Danio rerio: one gene and its partner. The protein of the gene in region 2 purifies or fractionates together with the protein of the main gene of each other region. This does not show direct contact. Links are inferred from orthologs where the notes say so. Each region holds a gene or a part of one and is shown on either strand. Other genes may lie near its edges.

Region 1 (3,755 bases), on a different chromosome or scaffold from region 2:
GGTTCAGGCTGGTGGTTGTGGTGTAATGGTGTGGGGGATATTTTCTTGGCACACTTTGTGCCCATTAGTACCAATTGAGCATTGTGTCAACGCCACAGCCTACCCGATTATTGTTGCTGACCATGTCCATCCCTTCATGACCACAGTGTACCCATCTTCTGATGGCTATTACTAGCAGGATAGCACGGCATGTCATAAAGCGTAAATCACTCAAACTGGTTTTTTGAACATGACAATGAGTTCACTGTTCTCAAGTGATTTCCACAGTCACCAGAACTCAATCCAATAGAGCACCTTGGGGATGTGGTGGAACGGGAGATTCACATCATAGATGTGCAACTAACAAATCTGCAGCAACTACGTGATGATATCATGTCAATATTGAGCTAAATCTCTGAAGAATATTTCCAGTACCTTGTTGAGTCGATGCCACAATGGATTAAGGCAATTCTGAAGGCAAAAGCGGCTCCAACATGGTACTAGTAAGGTATACCTAATAAAGTGGCCTGTTAGTGTATATTTATTATAGCTACTCTTAAAGATATCTCGTATAGACTCATATTAAATACATCATATTATGGCGTATTATTGTGGAAATGAATGTTCACCTATGATGTTGTCTGCTTTATTATACAGTATGTGTATGTATTGCCAATAATTATGTGCAATAATGTTTTATTCCCCAAACCACTTTTCAAATATTTTTTTATTATTATTACATAAACACATGTCTACAAAAACATATAGTCAAGCTAGTAAGTCAACTAAAGATTTTCAAGCGCAGTTCAATACGCTTTTTATCTAGGTAAACTGTCGCTTCAGCCAACAAACTCTGAGACGCCTGGTCGTCATTTTGGCTCAACCGCACGTGCCAGTCTATGCGGGAATTCCGGAATACGAAAGTCCTGTCGGAGCCATTATGGCGTAAGGCAATCCAGTTTCATAAGCGCGAGTGGGAGGAGTTTGGGTTTTCTGGAAGCTGGGAGCAGCAGCGCTGGAGTTATGAGGGGGAACTAGAGCAACGGCGGCGAGCAGGGACAGTCAGCGTGAGCGCGCACAGGGAAAAGCCGAAGCCGCGCGTGGCTAGAATGAGTGGAATCAACTGAACTGCGCACTTTAACAACAGCTTGCGTTTGAACACACAAACAAACCGCGTGCACGTCTTCTCCCCCGGCTCGAGTTAGTTAGTTTAGCGTCTAAACGACTTAACCCACTTGGTTCCGTGACTTCGGCAGCGATTATCGTGGAGTTGTTTTTAACGTTTGAATTACCTCAGCCTCGAGTGGCGGGATTAAGGGGGCCGAGAGAGAGGGAGGAGAAGGTGGGGCAGGGTGAGTCAAACGGACCGAGCGCTCACTACTGTCCGCTCGCTTCCACCAAACCACCAAAGGATAATTTTTCCCACCCAAAACCGACAGGAATCAACCATTCGCCGTTCATCGGAATTTGGAGAGCGATACAATCGGCTGTCAGCGTTTCTTTCGCGGCGCTCATTCCAGGTACTCTGAAGTGTCTGCTCGGTAATCCTCTGATATTTACCATTTGGACGGATTTTGGAGGGGGAGTGTAAATTCCCCGCTCTTGTTGGACCATGGCCGACGACGACGTGCTCTTTGAAGATGTTTACGAGCTGTGTGAGGTCATTGGCAAGTAAGTCTCACTTTGATAATGACACACGGGTGAATGTCCATCTGTGACTCGAGCTGCGCCTTTTGCGTTGTGTGTGTGTGTTTGTCTGCCAGACGAGTGTTGTCATTGCGTGAAATTCAGACTGTTGTGCTGCAGTGCTGTGCTGTTGAACACATGATAGTTAGATTCAGTCGTAACTCTTTACAAACTGCATGTTGTCTGAGGCTGGAGCAATGAGGAATGGGAGTGGCGAGTGTGAGAGATGAGAGAAGTGTACTTTGAGCGTTCGTGCAGGTAACGTTAGATGCCATCCACTACTATTGTTTTTGCATAGCTTCCTCTACTGCTGTCAGCGTTGATGTTTCTGCAAATGATTGTGTTTTGGTGGATAAACCAATTTCGTGTCACCTGGCTTTCATGTGTTATCTAGAAATGTCAGGTTTGTGCTTGCAGTCTTGTTCGTTTGTAGTTGTTACTGGTATTGACCACTATACCTGTACTTTACGTGTGCTGAGAGTTCTAGCCATTATAATATTGAGGTAAAGTGGGTTTCATATTCACATATCTGTTTATTTTAATGGTCATTGTATTGTTTACCACGCTACTTTGAATATTTGCTCTGAAATCGCATTTAAGTATCACCACACAACAACATCAGCACTGTTTAATTGACTGAACAATGTTGTACTTCAGTCATTGGCTGCTAATATGATTTCACTATTCAGAATTTGCTAATATTTTTCTGAAATTATATTATTAAGGACAAAGTCTGAATATGTAAATATTTGGAATATAAAGCAAACTTTACCTTAGTATTATAAATAGTTGTTTGATGTGAGTATAACATAATAAATGCCTTAAATGCAATGCATTATTAGTATTATGTATGTGTATGTGTGTTTATAATATTCAATGTAATTGCTATTTAATAATTTGTGTATTTTATTTACTTTTTTAATGTTGTATTTATGTTGTAAAACGCATTACAAAAATATACAAAAATGACAACATAAACATTTAACAATAAGCAAATACACTGAAGAATATTTTTAACAAAATAAATAAATGAATAATAAAAAAAAAAACACTAGTTCAATCTTACATACAGAAAATACAGGTCTACAATTTGCTGACCACAACTAGTATCCAGTACCAAGCTGGGAGTTGGGGGTGGGGACTCAATCAGAAGGGGCAGGGTTAAGCTGAAAAGTTTGGACATGTTTGCGAAGGGGTTCTCACAGTTTACTGAAAATTGTGCTAGATTGATGAAGAGAGTACCTATTTTTTTCATTTATTTTCTTTTCGGCTTAGTACCTTCATTATTCTGGGGTCGCCACAGAGAAATGAACTTATCCAGCATGTGTTTCACACAGCGGATGCCCATGCCCTTTTAGCTGCAACCCAACACTGGGAAACACCTATACACACTTTCACACATACAGGGAGAACATGCAAACTCCACACAGGTATGCCAACTGATCGAGCCGGGGGTCAAACCAGCAATCTTCTTGCTGTGTGGCTGTTGTGCTACCTACTGCACCACCATAGCGCCATTTTCTCATTTTCTTTACTTTTTACATATTTTTATAGATGCAGACTTAAATATGAGAATTTGTTTTTCATTATTGCTGTGAAATGTGATATTTGACAGTTAAAACTTTGCTTTTATTTGGATTTTTTTCACATTCACACTGTAGCCTTGAAAGCCAGAGTGTAATATAATATAAAATAGTGTAATGTAATTAGGGCAGCATGATATTGAACAAATCTGTCATTTCGATATTTTGTTTTGCTGCGATATGAATACAGTTTCACGAGATGGCTTGAATAGCTCTATTTGTGTAAACAAAATAAAATAAATGAATTATTGATTGGTTGATTTTGGATGCCTGTGAATCATGTATTAAATTGCAAGAATAATTACAATAGAGTAAAGAAAAAATTTAAATAAACAGTTATTTATGGTTTTCCGGAGTGTCAAACAGTATTCAGATACAGACATTTAATAATATAATGTCAAATATTACTGTATAGTCTTTATTATATTTATAAATCAGTAAAATTTATCTTCAGTAAAGTTACAAATGTTAATGATAGTCACAATCCATTATGCTTATTAATTGAAA
Region 2 (3,655 bases):
ATGTTTTTATATATTTATTTCACTATTACCAAATACTGTTAATATATTGAAATGATTAGAGCTGTAATGAAAAATCCTTAGAGATATCATTATTGATTATGAGCTTAGTTTTACCAGCAGGTGGTGCTGTACGCTTCACAAACAGCTGTAGTCTGCTTGCATGCAAATCTTTAAAAATACTACTCAAAGCTAAAATAATAATTAATAAAGTTAGGAAAGATTTAAGAAAAAATAAGCTTGCCTAGTGTGCCATCTGTGGTTAAAAAACTAGCCTGACTAGCCTAGAGCGCCATCTGTGGTGTAAAAAAAACTAGCCCTCCATATGTGGTTAAAAACTAGCGTAGAGTGCCATCTGTGGTAAAAAAAATTGCCTAGAGCACCGCCTGTGGTTAAAAAGACTAGCCCTCTATCTGTTATTAAAAAACTAGCCTAGAGCACTGTCTGTGGTTTAAAAATTAGCCTAGAGCACTGTCTGTGGTTAAAAAAAACTAGCCTAGAGCACTGTCTGTGGTTAAAAACAAAACACTAGCCTAGCCTAGAGCACCGTCTGTGGTTAGAAACAAAACACTAGCCTAGCCTAGAGCACCGTCTGTGGTTAAAAACAAAACACTAGCCTAGCCTAGAGCACCGTCTGTGGTTAAAAACAAAACACTAGCCTAGCCTAGAGCACCGTCTGTGGTTAAAAACAAAACACTAGCCTAGCCTAGAGCACCGTCTGTGGTTAAAAACAAAACACTAGCCTAAAGCACTGTTTGTGGTTTAAAAACTAGCCTAGTGCTTTGTCTGTGGTTAAAAAAACTAGCCTAGCCTAGAGCACTGTCTGTGGTTAAAAACAAAACACTAGCCTAGAGCACTGTCTGTGGTTAAAAACAAAACACTAGCCTAGCCTAGAGCACCGTCTGTGGTTAAAAACAAAACACTAGCCTAGCCTAGAGCTTCGTCTGTGGTTAAAAACAAAACACTAGCCTAGCCTAAAGCACTGTTTGTGGTTTAAAAACTAGCCTAGTGCTTTGTCTGTGGTTAAAAAAACTAGCCTAGCCTAGAGCACTGTCTGTGGTTAAAAACAAAACACTAGCCTAGCCTAGATCACTGTCTGTGGTTAAAAACAACTCAATAGCCTAGAGCACTGTCTGTGGTTAAAAACAAAACACTAGCCTAGCCTAGAGCACCGTCTGTGGTTAAAAACAAAACACTAGCCTAGCCTAGAGCACCGTCTGTGGTTAAAAACAAAACACTAGCCTAGCCTAAAGCACTGTTTGTGGTCTAAAAACTAGCCTAGTGCTTTGTCTGTGGTTAAAAAAAACTAGCCTAGCCTAGAGCACTGTCTGTGGTTAAAAACAAACCACACATAGCCTATAGCGCTGTCTGTTGTTGAGAAATAACGTAGAGCACCATCCGTGATTAAAAACTAGCCTAAAGCACCATCTCTGGTTTACAACTAGCCTAGAGCACCATGCTTGGTTAAAACAAGAGTGCTACCTGCTGTTAAAAAATTGCTCAAAATTAATTGAAGAAAGACTCATTTTGAGAATGTCAGAATTGATGCAGAATCGATTTCTTTGCCAATATGACTGTCAACAATGTCATCTGACTACATTTATCTCTTGCTCACAAAAGCTGTATTTATTTGATCAAGTACACGTCGTCAGTGAAATTTGTCATCAAATAAACAGCCTTGGTAAGCAAAAGAGACATTAAAATCATTAAATATCATAAGTTTTGACTCTCAGTGTAATCCAAACATAGTTTCTGTCTTCACAGTAGAATTAAAGTCAAGCTCAATAACACAGAGCTGCTTCTGAGATCTGGGACTCACCTGTTCTCCGGGTCAGGCATGGTGAGGTTTCGGCTGATGAAGCTCATTTTGAGCGGGATGACCTTTCTGTCTCGGCTGACGCTGCTCTTGGGGGATTCATCACTGCTGCTGAGGTTTGGAGACTGCAGACGGCCATCCCAGGACAAATCTGCACTCATGGAGGACTTCTTGAAGAGCGGAGACACTTCTCTGATGTACTTCACTGCACACACAGCACAAGTGGTCTTAAGCGGAGTCAAAACAGACCATCATTTTTAATGATTTGAATGAAGTGATAGTTCAACTAAAAATGTAAATTCACTCACTATTCACTCTGCCTCAAGTTTTTAGAAACCTTTATGAGTTTCTTTCACTGCTATTAAAGCACTATTAGCTTAGCATAGATCATTGAATCGGATTAGACCATTAGCATCTCACTCACATATTTTCCTATTTGAAGCCAGACTCTTTTGTAGTTACATCGTCTATTAAGACAAAAGGAAAATGAAAAGTGGCTATTCCCTCATTCTCGCTATAATAATCAAGGAAATTTGTTGCTGTATCACAGCTGCAGCAGGAGCAACGCTATTAGGTACTGCCCGAAAACCAACGTGATCAGCAACTTGCACATGTACCTTGCGAACATGGAGACATGTGTAAGATAATTGTGAACACATTTACTTTGGTGCAGATCTATTTGAAGCAAAATACATGAACGTTTGCTGCGATATATTGCACAACCCTACAGAACACAACACATCAAACCTTGAAGCTGATGAGCTACAGCAGCAGAAAAGAAGAGACTCGCTAAAAGTGGACACTAGGGCTCCGTTTACACTAATGCGTTTTCGTTTTAAAACGCATAAGTTTTGCTACGGTTACGCCATCCGCCCACACTACGGCGGAGTTCTCGAGCGGCAAAAACGGAGCGTTTTGAAAATGCTGGAGAGGCTGTTTTCATACTGACACACTGCTGCAATGTCTCGGTGTGGATGAGGAAAAACGGAGACATCTGAAAACGGAGGCGGGACCGCTGAGATTCGCTCCCTGATTGGGGCTTTTGTGTCATTAGCTGCGTCCCAAATCGCATACTTATGCACTATTCTACGCCATTTTGTAGTATAAATAGTGTAAGTAGTGTGTTCACACTGAAAACTCTTAAAATAATAAGTGCACTTTAATTACCCGGATGATGCCCTCATTCAGCCGCTAAAATGAAGTGTGGAATGATGGACACTTCACGCACTCAACGACCGCAGGTTTGCTTACGTATCGGAAGGGGCGGAGCTTTCGAGCGCACATGTTGGATAACTGTATTTATTTTGGATGGAGAAAGCAAAATTCTCCTACGAGAGTGATTATAGCGCCTCCCGATGGTGAATGCGGCAATACTCACGGCAGGTTTTATTTGATAATTCGTTCGTTTATTTCACTGATTTGGCAACCGTCAAACGTCATCAGGGAAACGGTTTGAATTTCCGTTTAGTAAAAAAACATTAGTGTGCCATTTGGGACAACACTACATACATGTACTATCCTGTTGAGTGTGTAAGTGCATAAGTACATAGTGCATGAGTGCATAGTGTATAGTGTGCCATTTGGGACGCAGCTATTGCGTATCCTTCCCTTATTCGTCAAGCCCCTATCACATGACTATAACACATGGCTTTAACGCTACCGGAAGACAGCAGACCAGCCTTCACTGTCATCAACAACATGGACACAGAAATGGGAGCGTTGTTTGCACTATTGTCTGTTTTAGGCGCCATTCTGCAGTTATTCATTTGTTACGTTTAGTAACAACTCGACCTCGTCGTCTGTCCACAAAAATACCTCTCTTGCTTTCTTTGCCATCGCGTT

Evidence for each region.
Region 1: the proteins of sntb2 (region 2) and caska purify together in Homo sapiens (affinity purification with mass spectrometry; 3 studies listed by BioGRID and IntAct, with this or other methods). This does not show direct contact. The link is inferred for Danio rerio from reciprocal best matches to the Homo sapiens genes SNTB2 and CASK.

The regions. Positions count from the first base shown.
Region 1 is NC_133184.1:35,296,675-35,300,429, reverse strand, and holds the start of caska (peripheral plasma membrane protein CASK), read left to right. Parts: upstream 1-1,045; 5' UTR 1,046-1,591; coding exon 1,592-1,650; intron 1,651-3,755. UniProt on the Homo sapiens protein: Multidomain scaffolding Mg(2+)-independent protein kinase that catalyzes the phosphotransfer from ATP to proteins such as NRXN1, and plays a role in synaptic transmembrane protein anchoring and ion channel trafficking.
Region 2 is NC_133200.1:37,500,358-37,504,012, reverse strand, and holds part of sntb2 (beta-2-syntrophin), read right to left. Parts: exon of another isoform or gene 3,412-3,655; intron 2,868-3,411; exon of another isoform or gene 2,019-2,867; coding exon 1,817-2,018; intron 1-1,816. UniProt on the Homo sapiens protein: Adapter protein that binds to and probably organizes the subcellular localization of a variety of membrane proteins. May link various receptors to the actin cytoskeleton and the dystrophin glycoprotein complex.